Mytilus edulis: one gene and its partner. The protein of the gene in region 2 interacts with the protein of the main gene of each other region in a biochemical or structural test. Links are inferred from orthologs where the notes say so. Each region holds a gene or a part of one and is shown on either strand. Other genes may lie near its edges.

Region 1 (8,459 bases), on a different chromosome or scaffold from region 2:
ACGTTTTAGCGCCAAAGTAGAACCCATTTTAGCGAAAAACTTTAATAGACTCAAGACATCACAATATAAAACATATGATGTCCATTAAAATACAGCACTAAATGTCTCAAAGATTTAATCAAATGTTACAAGTTCGTTCTAGCCTGGAATTTATGTCCTAGAGAACGTACGTAATGGGCTCTGGATATACCCCCCATACAATACTGTTGAATTGCATTAGAAACTGTTCTTTCTCTTTATCTTGTCTAGATTTTGATGCACATTCGTCTATACTTCGTGTTTTTGTATATGTTGTTTGCAATTTGAAAATAGTATCAAGAAAAACGTAAATAGCTGGATGACAACTATAACATTGCTCATTATAATGGTCATGGAACGACTCTGGACCACTATTTGTTCCCTTTAAAATACAATGAACTTCTGCCCAAAGCTTAGTGAGTTACTAATATTCAACCAGGTAAGTTTTCCCTAAAACGGGCTATCGAAATATACAGGTGAACGAATTAATCTAATGCAAAAATGGGCTCTAGTGTTGTCGCTCAAATGTCCCCTAGTACATGTAGCTATTTTTTTTCTCCCTAAAATGTCCTGCGCCTGACTAAATACTAAATGCTTAAAGAGAGCTTAAACACTAAAAACTAAAAGGAGATTTCTGACATGTGCACTAAGCCATATATAGCTGTTTGTACAATGATGTACAATTTGTATTATTATTGATTGAGTTTTCATGGCTAATGTACACGTGTACAGGCTACATGTATATCAAATACAACATAAACATTTTTTGATAAAATAAGAAATTTGAAGGATTATTTGAATTTGTAAAAAATATAACTAATATTTTTTACAAATTAAAATAATCCTTCAAAAATGTTTATATTGTATTTGATATACTACACTGTACTATATTTTTTACAAATTAAAATAATCCTTCAAATTTCTTATTTCATCAAAAAATGTTTATATTGTATTTGATATACATGTAGCCTGTAATAAATGACCAAAATGTACCTGTAAAACAGAAACTATATTATTGATTGACAAGTCCAAATAATCCATTGATGACCTGATTACCACTTATCATGTAACAAAAGAGGCTTTATATTCACTATATGTGTGAAATATATTCATAACAGGTGCATGGTAGACTGTAAAGAGTTGTTAATGATAATGAATTATTTAGTTAGCTCTCCGTTGTCTCTCTAATCATTTTATTCTTCACAATAATTATAAGGCAGCAACCATTTGATTTTCTGGGGGGGGGGGGGGGGGGGGGGGGGCTATGGATTTTTTTGGAAAGAAGTCTGTTTCCAGTTTTTGGAGAAAAAAATAATTTGTTTTTTACTTTGAGAAAAAAAAATGTTTGTTTCACCCTCAGCTGCCACTATACATGTATGTAATGCTAAAATTGAAAGAATAATGTTTTCGACTTGTCGCCAAAATAAGGCTGAAAAAATCCATAGCCCCCTCAAAAAATCAAATGGTTGCTGCCTAAGGCCTTGTTTAGCGTTTTTTAACCTATGACCTGCATAATACATTGTAATATCTAGAGGTTAATGATGTCTTAATAATTTAATATTCTTTTTTCAATTTAACTAGAACACACCCAAGAAATCGCATTTAGAGCATATGTAATCTGTTGAAGGATAATTTTTTGTAAAAAAAATTGTACCTGGAAAATTACAGGAAAGGTTTCATTAGTCATAGGTACATTGTACTTGAGAACAGGACAATTATTTTTTTTAGCCCTTCCCCTTTTTTCCAGACCATTTTTTGTTGTTTTTCTGTATATAATGAACACATACTATAACATGTACAAAAATGTAGTACGGGTAAACATGTATAAATGGTGGAAAGTAAACAACAGTATTGGAATTGATAGTAAATAGCAAATACACTTTATTTATACTATATATCATGTATGTATGATCACAGTATACAGAAAAACTCTAAAATAATTGTACTGTCCCAAAGTACTTAAAATCTAGTCTAAAACAATATCTGGACACCTTTATCATGTTTATTTTCCTCCCAAAATAACCCAAACTGAATAATCATAAGCAAGGATGATAAATAAATGATAAATGAGACTATGCATTGTACCTATATATCATGCCTATAGGACACAAAGGCATGATGATTAATTTATTGTGGAAGGAAGAGAAGCAACACACAAAATGAGGTCTTCTCATTTAATAGTATAAATATATATCTGGGTTTCTGTTGTTCTAAACAAAATATTTTTAAATGCATTTCATGAACAACACCTTTGTCTGCTTACTGCCTTTAAGTTGGGTTGTTGTCTCTTTGACATATTCCCCATTTCCATTCTCAATTCTATTACTGTTTGTGTGTGTATAAGTGCATGTTTTTATTGTAAAATTAATGTTAAATTACACATGGTGATGATATTTCGTATGATTTAAAAACTAAAAGTTTACATGTCATGTGTTTTATCATGTTTATTAGAGACAAAACCCCCATACATAGGTATTGAGAGTAGACACTGTTTTGTGTAAGATACTGTCCATTCTATGAAGGAACCCTTAGCCTATGAAATATGGTCCTTTCTTTGAAGGACACTTTTCACATCTGAGGACAAGATATCATCCTGACAAAATTTCATAATAACAGTGGACACAATTCTGTGAAATAGTGTCTGGTGGACATACTTTCATGGCGAAAATATCTAACTTTACAAATGAATTGATTGATTTCACTTGTATGTGCCAGTAGCATGAGTAGTAGATGCTCTCTGCATCATTATTATGAAAATACTCAGATAAAGCTGCAACCTCTGGATTCAACTTTCTTTGCCAAAGAAGACATTCCTAACCAATATTCAAAAGTACATTAAAAAAGTCATTATAGACATGATAGAACAAAATTTACTTTTTCTTCTTCCAATACAGTGCAGTCCTCTAATTGAGTATTATCGCACTATTGCCCATGCTGGGTGTGACAACAAAGGTGCAAGAAAATATTTACAGGTGCAAGTTAAAAACAGTCTGATGGTGCGATTAAGGGATACTACAGCTCAGTACCCCCTGCTTGAAAGCATCTAGTTAGGTACTATCCACCAAAGGTTGTGGAAGGCCATATCTGTATGCTGTCTGGAAAGAAGGAATGCCTGTATGTTGAAGTTCTGGCATACGGTACAAGAAATAGTGTTGTGTGTCCTCTAGCTATGGATGTTGTATACACCTTATCGCTATTTGTCCGCCATTGCTGGAAATCACACAGGTTCCCGTAAAATTTTGACGTCATAAAACAAAATGTCTGACGCCACAATGGAAAAGTGATTGTTGTTGACGTCAAAAGTTCAAGCGGACGGGTCAGCCGGGAATAGCGATAAGGTGTATTGTGTAGCTCTAGCGGTGGTATTGCTACGTACTTTATATTGATAATTTCATCAGAAAAATTTCAAGACAAGTATTGTAATGTTAAGTATGTGGTATGAAAATAGAAAATTTTAATATTCATTGCAAAAAAAAAAAACATTTTTTTTTAATTAAAAATCCTGCAGTCTGTACCTAAGCCAGTGTTTGATACCGGTCTGTAAATCATGCTGTCAAAAACTAAAAAGGTCAAACATGCACACTCTGAACATCAAATGATCAAATTCGTAGCAATTATCAATCTACAGTTAACTTTTCGTAACTGATGTATTTTATCATCTCATCTACCTACTTTCTTGTTACTGGAATGTTTAAGTGACAGTTAGAAAAACAAATTGCAAATAAAAATACGGAAAGATTATCAACTTTCACTTCTGAATGTTTTTTACGACATACTATTACCGGTGCATGTTGAATAAAAACAATGATTTTAATTAAAAAAAATAGCAGATTCCATGATTAATATATGATATTTAATATACCATATATTGATAAAGTAAATAAAATGCAAATATTTTTTTTTAATTAGATTCCCATACACGACAACCGCAAATAGTGTATACGACTGGTTACTTTGAGAAAAAAACCAGACCCATCAAAACCTTCTTATCTTTTAGAGTTGAGTAAGCAAACTTATCAACATTTTTATGGTAATTAAATCAACACCTAAAATGCTGGTTTATACAACTTAAAAAAAGCTGTTGTTTAGTCATGATATGAATTTGTAGCCGCAAAAAAAAAATTCCATGAACTAGCTGTACTGTCTGGTACCCATATGATAATGTTATCTGCTATTGTTGGACACAGAATACAGGACACTAAAGGTGTCATACCACCAATTAAAAGTCCCTATCTGTTCAACCAAATTTTGCAATTTTCACAGCTTTCTAAATATTTTACCTTAAGTTTAACTTCATAGAAACTAGGTATATCCTGAATTGTACAGGTGTCACCTTTCTTCATGCCAATTTTCAACATAACGTAACGGTACCCAAATTGCACCAAGTACCCAAATTGCACCTATTTAGCAAAACTAGCAGCGAAAATCTTACAAGATTTTCTAGAGACTAAACAATTTGTTTTTTTATGATTTGATACTAAGCACATCTTTCAACATAGGTAAAACTATTTAGATATGCACAAAACGTTCACAGTATCTATCAACAGATGAAGTATTTACTGAAAAAGCAAAATGTACTGAAACGTCACCATGCGACGTCATCAAAACGTCATCTTTTTAAAATGAGCAAATACAATATGTTACAAGTATCCATTTAAAAAATAATGAAGAGTAAGCATGGACTAATATCCAATTGTTCAAAATATTTAAAGAAATTAAACAAAAGCTCTGTTATTAGACTTTTGACGATGCGAATTTAAGCATGGAAGCAATTTGGGTACTCCTAATTTCAGAATCATTGATGGTTTGGAGGTCAGTTTAGACCAATTTTTCTATGATTCCATATGAAATAAAAATCAAATTGGTGTACCTTTATAATAAAGAAGGATAGGGCTACAAAATAAACACAGACTGGACATTTTTGTCTTCATCATAAAAAAACGTAGATGAAAAAACTGTCAAAATAGGTGCAATTTGGGTACCGTCACGTTACATTCAAAATCATATAAGAAAGCAGAGAGCTTCCGAAAGGAGGTACCACTAAAAATAACCCCTGGTTTTCTGGAAATCTTAAATTAGTATACTATGGAGCGCATTAATCCTCAATTTTTAATGCAAACTCATAGACAGGTAAATTTTGGCTCAAAATGGTCTTAATATATTTCTCTTTGAACAAAACTTTCATTTCTGCAAATTTGTTGGTTAGTTTAGGTGAACAATGACATCAAATGCACTTTTTTTTGTCCGAGTAGGCCTACTTTCACATACGTTCTAAATTTGAGGGAGTAATTGGTGGTATGACACCTAAATCAATATACATTATTCAAACAGGGATCATCACAACCTAATAATTAAGTGTGGCAGTGCAACAAGCTAAAACTACAAACGCTAAGTTAAAATTACCCACGCCATGCTTATTTTCTTGTCTGCACATTTGAAAATTCAATATATATTAGGGATCTCCATGGCCTGTTTAAAGTCATGGCTCCCCACCATCGTTTAAATATCCTGTGCCTCGCCATTGTTCTAATATCTTGCGCCATCATTAAATTGTCTTGCGCCATCATCAAATAACCTGCGCCATCATTAAATTGTCTTCCGCCATCGTTCAAAACTGTAATCTTTTTTTATAGCTCAACACCATTTTTTGAGATTCACTTGATGTTGAGTATCGAGTTGCGAGTAAAGAGTTACTACAGTCGAAATGCGATTTAGGAAAGTCGAGTTGCCAGTTAAGAAAGTCGAGTTGCAAGTCACAAATGAGTTAAGAAATTCGAGTTACGAGTTAAGAAAGTCGAGTTACGAGTTAAGAAAGTCGATTTTCAAGTTACAGAAGTCGAGTTGTGTGTTAAGAAAGTCGAGTTGCGAGTTAAGAAAGTCGAGTTTCGAGTTATTAAAGTCGAGTTGTGAGTTAGGAAAGTCGAGTTGCGTCAAAATGTGCTAACGAAACTCAGTGATTTATATTTATTTGGAATGATGATGGCTTATAGAATTGTATACAGTATTGTTGATTATTTTTGTTGTTTGGACTTCATCTGAGTCTCTTGTAAAAATAAAATGGATTGCTTACATATAAATCATACGTATCGTATTTTCTGAAGAAGCAGATAGCCTTTTGAAATACAGCGGATGGCTTGCAGTTTAATTATTATTAAATTTCATAGCTAGCACCGTCATATTAAACATAAAGGGAGATAGCAACCAAACTTTAATACATAAATGTAAAATAACCCTTCAGTTCTGCAGATTTCGTATAGAGTGAGCTTTATGGGGCAGCTCCAGAGCCGGGCAATTTTTTTCGTTAGGGACCGCAAAATTTATTCTTTGGCAGTGACACTCAATATTGTGGACGTTAAAATTATATACATTGTATGTCTACATCGGCTAGAGATGAAGGTGCTCAGTCAGGAACCTTAATAGTTAGCCTTTGTTACTCTTGCATATTTTTAAAAATTTTGGTTTATCTTTATATTTAGGAGCATAGAATGGGGTCCATATTCTTGATGTAATGAACATTGTGTTTCTGGGCCTGCTCAGGGCTCCCTCTAGGTGGGTGATCCTCGCTGTGTTGAAAACCTAATGGCCTTTGGTTGAATTGTATATTTTGGTTGGGTTGCTGTTGAAATGTTATTCTAATAAGTCACATACATTTAATTCAAGACAGGACCTGAACTATAAAATCATTACAATTAACATTATTATTGTTATTACAATGTACATATATTCATTTACATTTCGTCTAACATCTCGATATGTAATAATATAGTTTCCTAAATATTTAAGTACAGACAAATTTTCATTAGTAAATAACCAAACAAATTTTGTCTCATTTGAGAGATAGGAAAAATTAGTACAGAGACTGTAAAATATCTCCCTTCAGATCATCTTTGTACATGCTGGACAACTTGTAATGAAATGTTATTCATCTTCAACTAGATTTAGAGTACATTTCTTACAAAGCCTTTAAAGTCTTATTATATAAAGTTTTATATCAGTCTCTTTCTATTTTGAGATCATGGCCACTGATTCTGATTTTACATATGACACTTCATTTTAAAATTGTTTTAAAGATGCATGTAGGTACATTTCTTTAGAAAAACATTTTTTCAATTTGAAATAAGTATCTAATTTATAACTCTTTGTACCTTTTTTTTTTGTACCAAAATATAACAAAGTTTTTGCTTAACCAATGGCGGACCCAGAAATTTTCATAAGTGGGGGTCCACTGACTGCCTAAGAGGGGACCCGCTCCAGTCATACTTCAGTGATTCTCTATATAATAAACCAAATTTTTTGCAAAAAAGGGGGGGAGCAGGGCCCCCTGAAAACCCCTCTAAATCCGCCTCTGTTAACTGACTTGAGAAAAAAGTAAAGCTTTACTTCCAAATTATGAATATTCAGCTTTTTAAAAATTTAATCCATACGAAATTCCAATGAGCAAACTATTTTCTCCATTATTTTGCAGTGTGTTATAGTCCACGCGAGATGCCGAATTTCCTTTACTATTCTATTTTTAGGATTATTTGTTTACCAAATATACGGTAATAAGGTAATTTATGGTCAGACTGGTTCTTTTTATCCTTTTTATGTTGTAGTGTAAACGCACTGGAATAAATAAGATCGATCTCGTCCTTTAAGGAAACATTATTTTTTTTCAAATACTTCCAGAACTTAACTTTTACTAGACTCTTATAAATAAGTATCACATATACCTCATTCAAATTCTGCAATCACGGGAATAACTTAGTTCGGATACATGCATGCTTTGTTTATCAAGTGTGAATCAAACCTGAAAATTAGGTGTCAAAGATATTTTTGTAACTCACAACTCTACTTTCCTAACTCGCAACTCGACTTTCCTAACTCGCAACTCGACTTTCCTAACTCGCAACTCGACTTTCCTAACTCGCAACTCGACTTTCATAACTTGCAACTCGACTTTCTTAACTCGCAACTCGACTTTCCTAACTTGCAACTCGACTTTCTTAACTCATAAATTGCAACTCGACGATAAGAAACCTTTCCATTTTTTTAGCAATTATAATCAAATGCATGTAATTGCATAACCCTTAGGCTTTTTTATATTATAATCCAATACAGTTCAAACGCCTGAGGGATATCTAGATAAAGATAATTAATTACTTGTACCCGAGCTTGTACAGGTAGATCAACAAACCACACAGGAGAATACTATCTGAAATGTCTGAAGAAAGACGATTCGTTTATCAAGTTATTCACCTAAGTTTCAGAAAAAGCTTATAATAATTTAGACTATAAAAAATAAATTAATAATCCAGTTACAAAGAAAACAGTTTAACAAGTCGAACATGTGCTTTTATTTGGAGTTTACGCAATCAGCATCCCCCTTTTTTAAGAAGTACAAAATAAGATGTAAAACATTAATATTATTTCATCTCAAATAATTTGAGTACTGCTGTAAC
Region 2 (9,330 bases):
TGAAAGTGAATTGCGAAACAGTCATCAATATTTTAGTAAATGATTTTAATCTTACTTCAAAATCCAGAAGAAAATAACATATCAAACTAGTCAAAGCCATGCAAAAATATTTGTTAAGATAATCTAAACATATAAATAATGATTTTATAATAATAAGTAACCACAGTTTTACCAAACACAGAACTGGCCATCTGAAACACTAAACCAAACTTACAAAAAAATTATACAAATTCATTTCTTTTTTATCACTGGTCAAAATACAATGTAGAAATATTAACTTTCAATTTACTTTACTGAAAGTTTAAAAAGAAATTTTTTATCAACAGAATATCATTTTTATGTGGGGTTAAAACGTTTGTACATGTAACATGACTTATAATGCTTATGATAACACTAACAGTAATTTTTTTATTTATTTTAAAGGTTTCAAAATTCTGCATTAACTGGCATTAACAATTCACAACTATCAAACAGTTTTATGAATTAAATTTTTGTTCTTATTCATGTTATTACAATTGTAAGTGAACTGTGTTTTAACATTTTGGCAATATAAACTGAGGCCTGAACTAATTATAAGTATTACATTTTTAACATGACTAATGGGCCTGCATTTCTATCTTTTTTTCCAATATTATTTATACACATGTACATGTACATGATGTACATGGATGCAATTTCTTACATGTATATGTCTCTCATGTACTTTGGTTAATATTATTCCTGCAGAATTGTGAATTACATGAAATATTTATAATCAACATTGATCAACGGTTAATGACATTAAATAGAAGTGGCATGACTGCAGCCAATGAATGAGACATCTCTTCACAAAAGACCAAATGACATAGAATTAAACAACTATAGGTAACAATGAGCAAAACCAGCACTGCATAGTCAGCTATAAATGGCTGTGAATATTCAAAAGGTTTTTGCGCAATTGCTTAATGTTTTATCCAATTCAATTGCAGATTAAAATGTTTTTAAACCATGCAAACTGATCATCTGAATAAGCATTTAAGGATGTACACCTCTGAGGAGCCAAAAATTTCTAGAATTAAACTTTTTTTCTTAACCTGATTTTTGGATTTATAAGACTGTAACAAAATAATTGGTGAAGAAAAAATCATATGGTGGTGCACTTCTTTTTTTGCTAAAGCCCTTTGAAAATGACCAATTTTGATGATTTTCCCATTTTTCATCGATTTTTACCTATTTTTGGGCTATTATCATGAAAAAAATCACAGTTCCACAATTAAACTTTTTCTCATACTTTATAAAAAGATGAAGTGGACCAATCTGAATAAATTTTAATTACAAAAACTATAGGTAGGTGTTAATATAAGAAAGTTTTATCATATTTTGACGCTTTTTTGTGTAAAATTTACCATGCTGTCAATTTAGCATTTTTCTGATTTTTCTCAGTTTTAAGAACAAAATGCATATTTTTTCAACTTTTTTGTTATAAATGAATGAAAAAAACATATCTAAGAAATTTGAAAAGACCAAAATGATATGGGATGTACATGATTCTTGTAAAATAATTTTTTGTATCCCTCACCCATTTTCTCAAAATTTTGGCTAAAAATACTAACTTGATTGGTCGTAAAATTTGAAAACTGGATTACGAGAAAACCATTCATTGTAAATACACAATTTTTTCACAGATTTATGTTTGCTTATAATATTTTTAAAATTCATTGATATTTTTCCCTTCTTTTACATGTTTTGGAAATAATTCAAGAACGAGATTTCAACGAGACTGAATGAGACTGAAAAGTCAGAAGAATACATCCTTAAGCTATATCATATTATACAAGTATATATCAGTATTACTTATATATTCTATAATTCTATATTATATGTTTTTCCCCCTTTATTTTCCATCATTTATTGATAAAAAATTACTGTGGTGTACTTGAGTTTTTTTGCATGTACAGTAGATAAGATGTACATTGGTTTAGATAACAAATGCTCTTATCAAAATATTTTACCTTTTGATTAATAAGATACATTGTACATGTACAAAAAAACTAAAATTTAAAATCCTTCCTCAAACTGGACATTTTAAGGTCCATTTATTTAGCCTTTAATATTTTTTAAAGAAATCTAAACTGAGATGTTTTTAAATATAATCGTCAATGATTACAGTTATAGGCCTCATTCAGAGTTAGCATGTACAAATATTACTTGTAATTACAACCTTTGTAAGTGTTTGGTGTTTTGAACACATGTACATGTATAGTCATGATAGTACAAAGTCAGTTGCATGTACATGACTTTACATGAACATTTGCATCATGTACATTTTGTAAATCTTTTTGAACTGAATATTAAAAAGGAATGTAAATTTTTCACAAATGTACAAAGTATGTTATGTCATGTACATGTTGTACAATGTATCAGTATCAATTCTTGTAAAATTATGTAAAATGGTAACATATACATGTATACCATGTTACATGCATACTTGTGAGCAACTTTGTATCTTTTAAATCTATTGATTCTTCAAATTTTTATTGGGTTATTGAAGTCATGTTTGTAGCTTTTACATTCTTGTAACTTGCATGTCATGTCCATCACAGGATATTTGACTCTGAGAAGAACCAAAGTAAACAAACAAATGAAAACAACAAAATAGTATCTACCTTTGTCCTCCCATTTACACTAACATTAGTCAATTTGCCAGCACACTTTAAAATAACAGCATCCATGGAGGATACAAGAAATCCAATGTCTTCACACCCCTCCTCGCTACCATCAACCCAAGTTAAAACATCTCCTCTAACATGTTTCAAATTTGAATTTCCACGTTCAGAGTTCATTAGTTGTCCTTCTGTGAATAATCCTTTTTGATGCATATCTTGGACTTGTTCATGAATTTCAAGTCCTTTACCATTTCCAAGAAAATTGTCAATAACACACACACCATAACGATTTAAGCAATTGCATGCATAGTCTGCAAGCATCTTAGTCCTGGTTTCAAGCACTGAAAAGTATGTTTTGCTTGTGTCAAACTCTTCTTCCGTTGTTGGCGGCATTTTGTCAGAACTGTTTCTTTTCTTAGAAGAGTGTCTAGCAATATTTTGTCGAACAGATTCTGATGTAAAAGGTTTTAACTCTGAAATATTTGAATGTAAAAAGAATTCCTTTGAGGAATGTTTGCCAATTTTTGGAACAGTAACTTGTTTATCTTCTTCCAAATTCAATTGTTCTAATCTGGAAACATTTCCAGCAGAATTCGAGGATCTTAATTCACTCATGGTTTTGTCAGTGTCAACAACTTTTAAACTTACATCTTCACTGTCACGTAACCCATCCACACGTGGGGAACCCTCCGGTATTGATATTTCGTTACTATTTATAGACGATTTTGTTTTTTGACCCAATTCTTGCTTTTCGTTTGATGGTTGCTCTGGCTTTTTGCACTTCTTCTTATGATACTTCCAGTCATATTTCTGATGCTCCCTGCTACAATACCATGTTCTTTTACAACCTGCACAGATCATTAAATTATTTACTTGGCCGCAAAGTTGGCAAACGTTGCGTATGTTCCCCTTGTCACGTACACATGCAGCCATTATTTCCTATGTTTACATTCGTTTGATCCAGTCCTCCATGACACAGATAGTGTTCAAGTTGTCACGGATACTAATGAATATTTGGCTGTTTGTGTTATTATACTTTAAAGATACATGAAGGTCTACACGACGAAGCTGTCTTGAATATCACGACGAAGTTGATGTTTTCGGTACTCAGACTGCTCTTTATTTGATCCGGCAATTTACCAAAAACCGAGATGTAAGTCTGGCGACGCAAATGTTCTCACCGGAAAGCTCAAGCTTCAGCATGACGATGTGTCGGTGCGATACGAATGCCTCGCCTGAAGCATAAAAACAATAATGAAAATAAAAATTTCTTTTGTTAATATTCGTATGAAATGATGGAATGACACAGACAAGATGACTTCTTGCATTGCAGAAGAAGATGTTTTATATTTCCATTAAATGGGGCTCACAAGAAACATATATTAGACATCAATAAGACAATAACAAAAGGAATCATAAAATAAGAATATGTATAGGTAGGTGACGGATAATTTTTTTGGCCCTCCCCCTTTTTTCCTAAATCCGTTATCTTTTTGGTTTCCCATTAATTTTAATTATTTCCGCTTCTTATTGTATAAAGTCTGTATACTATAAGCGTAAATGTACAAGAAATATATTTAATTTGTATTTGCTATTTACTATCAATTCCAAGTTTACTATCCACAGCGCGGTCACTGATCTCTGAGACCATATACATATAGGCACTTGCTACGGTTACATGGAAATGTAACAATAATAAAATAATTATTGTTACATTGAAGACTAATTGCCGGAATGCAGGGCTTGGTGTAATAGATGTGCCCTGATGTGCCTAGGTTAATTCCCCTTAATTTGAACAGATTAATTATTTAGTATTTAAATGTTTCTTTTAGGTTTGATTTGATTTAAATATAGTAAGATAAAAGTAAGGATTGTTAATTTAACTGTTTTAGCATTTAACTTTTGATGTTTTTATAATGTTTTAAGAATATTCATTTATTTAACTTTTCGTCAGTACCTTTTATGTTAAAGTTCTCCTGATTAATGACAAGTTTAGGATATCATTTGATAATCAGTCGGTGTCGGCCTTGCACAGGCCTCCAAATACTCGCCGGAACTAAAATTAGTACCACTCGAGTCTAGAGTTGGCCACCACTTCGGTGCAGTTCTCCAGAGTTAGTCACCCCCTTTTGGTACACTTTTACTACTTTAAAACACAACGCGAAGCAAATTTACTTTACTTTTAAGACTAACTCTGGGAACACTCTATTTTTCATTTTACATTTGAAATTACTGTATTTTTGAACTCCATTTAAGAAAGTTTTCTGACTCCTGTTTTATCCGACTTTGTTTAATGAAATTATTGTACATTTTTTAATAAAATATAGTTTCGTTTGATTCATTGTCTGTTGTTCAGCCATAATCTGATATCAGGTATCCCGAAGGTCGTATAGGGACAAAGTACTGGCCACTACACGACCCGGGAGGTGTCGTCACCGACCCCCTCCGTTACACTTGGTAAGGAACCGATTAATTACGTATGTAACAATAGTAATTGAGTCTACGGTTTCATTGCGTTATTTTTACATAAATGCACTTCAATGTACACTGGGACTAGTAATATGTATCAAAATAAAACTTGAATAATTTTATTTGGATTTATCAACAACAATGCAACTCTACAATGCATTTTGATTTTATTTACAATGACAGTTTTTTTGGGGCATGTTTTAGTCCGACACATTTTGGTGAAACCACTATAATTAAGCAGCCTTTACAAACGAGTGATGCAGCAATGTCCACGTCAGTATTGCATTCTGCACTATCTAAAGACTATTGTGGGTTGTTATATGATTTTATGTTCACCTCTCTCCGATTTCAATATCCAACTTAGCATAGCTGAAAAACCTAATAAATCTTAAAAACTTAAAAGTCAATTTGAATGCAATTAATGTTAACAGTTGCCCACATTCATTCGTTCGTCGTTGTTCTTAATTAGCGAAAAAATAAGCAAAAAAACTAGGGAAGGTTTAGTTTAAGTTTAATAAATCTACCGTACGTTGAAGTGCAGTAATGTAACAATTACTCAATGTAACCGCAGACACAAATAGTATTGTTACATTAGTAATTAATCGGATCTGTACCCTCCCTGTATTCCGGCAATTAGTTTCAAATGTAACAATAATTATTTTATTATTGTTACATTTCCATGTAACCGTAGCAGTGCCTTATAGATATGTGTTAGCATGAGAAGTCTCAGCTGATCGGCTACATAATATGTCATGATATGTGATTCAATTGGTACAGTAGTAAGTAAACAAATACAGGTTATTTCTAGTATGATTATGTTCATGTTATACAGCTAAACGCGAAAATAATTTCAATTAAAAGGGAAAAATAACGACGGATTTGAAAAAAGGGGGAGAGCTAAAAAAATTGTCCTGTCCCTAAGTACCTATGAGATAAACCAGGAGTAAACCAAATTGGTTTTAAAGACAACTGCTTTGAATTAAAATTACCGATGTTGTCGACGACTTCAGAGGATGAGTGAAGTGTTTGTTACATATAATTCAACGAACAATCAACTGAAGAAAAATTGAAATGTCAATATACACCTGAGGTAGATGAATAATTCATACTAAAACGTAGGCCTATATCTAAATTATAAATTTTTTATAATACACATCTTACGATGCATGAACACGGTAATATGTTTCAGCATTTCGTGTGTATTTCAGTCTATACGGATAATACCACCTAATTAACCACCGAGGTGACCTCCGAAAACTGCCGACGGTCATATAACCCGATATAAGCATAGATATAAATAGGTAGTAATTCGTGCAATTAGATTTTTTTTAGGTCTGTTTGATTTCATATTTTAGGTAAACAAAATAGGTTGATCATCGTTTTTACCTAACAATGAGCTTACATGGATCGAATAAGTCAAACAAAAAGTTTATCATCCGGCTCAGAACTATTTTTAATAGTGACAAAAGTATTTTAAAGATTATTTGATTTTCGGGGATCAAGTTGTTTTGTCCTATTTCTAATATTTTCGAACGCCATGATATTATTGCGGCACGTGATTTTCATTCGGTTTCACTTTCAATGTTGACATTATTTTTCTTTTAATAGCTGAACACGCCTAGTTCATGGGTAACCGGCCTCTCTGGGGTTAAATTGAAGGCCACATGAATATGAATTGAATGATGTCGAATTTTTCACTTACAAGTGAATAATTTTTCGACCTTTTTTTCTTAGCATATTCTGACAAGATTGAACAAAACTCCCTGCTAAAAGCGAATTATTATTTCACTATATTTCATTTTCATAGATGCTAAAAAAAAAACAAAAAAAAAACCCATATTTTTATTATTTTTATATCTCGAAGTCAATGCCCCTTTGGATTCAAGGAACTCAAATTTTGATGTAAACATGTCTATTATGTCTCTCTGCAACAGGCTAAAATATCAATAGAAATAAAGTGACTGGCTACTGATATCGGTACATTGTCGTCGAAATCCTAGATATCATAAAATAAAAAGGAAAAGGGGCACGGTTTTGTTTACAGAGCCGATGAACACATAATTGATCATTTGAATAAAGGTATCAATTTAAAAGTAATAAAATAATGTTTAGATGGTTCTTATATCAATATCAACATTGATTTTGTTTTTAAGAAGGAAAGAAAAGATAACTAGATATACAATATATTGCAACATGTGTACAAATATGAGAATTACGGATCCTATATCTTCTGGTGTTGTTTTGGTCATGCGTTTCTCCGACTGCTTATGGCGTCTTTACACTAAATCTGTTTGAGATGATACTTAAGTCTGGGAAAACAAAATTTATTTATTAGTCATAATTACTTTTAACTAGCCTTGGTTTACTGCAGGTACTGTTATTTAGGTGCTTTGTGTCCGTAGGAATGTTTTGAGTGTTAGCCGTTTTTGTTCCTTCAGCGTATACCTAAGTTTTGAGGTAAGCAAATTGCAAACTTATTTTCATAGTTTGTTCTTATGTTGTGATGTGACACTACTGTTGCTTGTAAGAGGAGGTTTGAGCGCCCAGAAATATGTTTCGCCTCGCCATATTCTTTGTGATTCTGTACTAAGCTAGGAGACTAGTTTAGTTGTTGTGGTTTGTTTATGTCTGTCATATACATGTTTTTCGTGAATTGATTTGTTGTAAATTAGGCCGTTGGTTTTTATTTCAATTGAATACTTTCATGTTTTTCATATTGGGGCCTTCTTAAGCCAACTATTCGGTGTCTTCCCGATTGTCCAACATTTTTGTAGTACAGGTAAAAAAGTAATGAAATTTTGTGGCACAATCCAGAATATGTTATTGGGACGGGCGCGCATTGCATTTGCACCAATTTCTTAAAAATCCAATCTTTCATTTGCGCCAAACTTCAAACACTTCATTTTCGCCATTTCACAGGTAATACAGGTAACATATAACGGAATGCATTTAAGGAATGACTGTAATATTTTTTCTGTTTATGAAGAAATAACATAAAAAATTTGGTCCACATTGAATAACGCGCGTAGCGGGTTATTTAACAGTGTGCACCACATTTTTTATGTTATTTCGAATAGACAGAAAAAATATTACAGTCATTTCTTATAATTTAATTCTTTATTCCGTTTTAAACCGTAGAAAACCATGAAAAAACGTTGATGACGTCACAGTCACATGACTAAATTATGTCTATGGGCTCATAACAAAATAACGTCAGCCAATCCGGCAGAAGACGCGTTACATCCAAAATTAAATTATTCATTGTTGTATCGTGAATAAGATCTGTTTTTACAGTATTTCTCCTGTACTCATTTTTAATACAAAACTGAGGTTTAAAAAAAAGTGTTCACATGTTTTAGGTGTATAGATTGATATTAATTGTCAGTTCAGAGACAAACAGAGGAAATCTGTATTTGTTTTATGATCACACGCTTATCATATTATATGCATCATATAAAAAATCATGCCATAAAACTTGCAAAGCCAGAATAACAACTGAAATTAATAGAATTATAATTTTACTATACTGTATAATGCTGAGAACTGTCTCGCAATATTTACTCCTTTTAAGATATGTTCAAAGTAACAGCTAGAACGAAATATCTTGTTTGGTTTAATGATGACTAACGGATTTCTGATAATTATGTTTTACTAGTATTATGCAAACAAAAACTGTCTTTATCATTAAGAGTCCGCTTTTTGTGGAAAAAATCAATGTTTTTAATTATTTACCTGTATTATTGCCGCAAATGAAATATGGTCTGTGGCGCAAATGTAAGATTATATTTGGTGCAAATGAAATGCCAATGGACGCAAATGCAAAGCAAAGCACCGAGTGGGATACCTGGGAAGGTTAAATGTGGGACAATCGGGAATTGTTTTGATGTGGATTACTTTGGGGTTTTTTAACCCATAGGGTGACTGGGGTATAGAAATGTGGTCACTTGGTCTTCTCCCGACCGGCAGTAAAACGCTTGCCGAAGTGGGGCGTCCGTTTGGCTGTGCGGGATGTATCAAGTTCGCAGTCACGTCCGTTCAGAAGGGGGACGTTCAATCCGATGCCTCGTGTAAAGAAAGTGCCACGCTCTTTGCATGTTAAGAACCCTTGCAACAACTCTTTGAGGGGTCCGTTGGTGGCCTGTTGCAAGGCAAAATTTATGTCCCTATCTAATATACCCTCATTTTCCAGTGGCAGTCCAAATTTCCCCGACCATCA

What was found. The genes of interacting proteins can lie anywhere in the genome.
Region 1: the proteins of egl nine homolog 1-like (region 2) and peptidyl-prolyl cis-trans isomerase FKBP8-like form a complex in vitro, tested with the Homo sapiens proteins (2 studies listed by BioGRID, with this or other methods). The link is inferred for Mytilus edulis from reciprocal best matches to the Homo sapiens genes EGLN1 and FKBP8.

What each region holds. Positions count from the first base shown.
Region 1 is NC_092347.1:90,565,253-90,573,711, reverse strand, and holds the start of peptidyl-prolyl cis-trans isomerase FKBP8-like, read right to left. Parts: upstream 3,805-8,459; 5' UTR 3,692-3,804; coding exon 3,691-3,691; intron 1-3,690. Other genes in the region: U11/U12 small nuclear ribonucleoprotein 35 kDa protein-like, read left to right, coding at 4,046-4,048. UniProt on the Homo sapiens protein: Constitutively inactive PPiase, which becomes active when bound to calmodulin and calcium. Seems to act as a chaperone for BCL2, targets it to the mitochondria and modulates its phosphorylation state.
Region 2 is NC_092346.1:64,074,736-64,084,065, reverse strand, and holds the start of egl nine homolog 1-like, read right to left. Parts: upstream 3,907-9,330; 5' UTR 3,579-3,906; coding exon 2,646-3,578; intron 1-2,645. UniProt on the Homo sapiens protein: Cellular oxygen sensor that catalyzes, under normoxic conditions, the post-translational formation of 4-hydroxyproline in hypoxia-inducible factor (HIF) alpha proteins.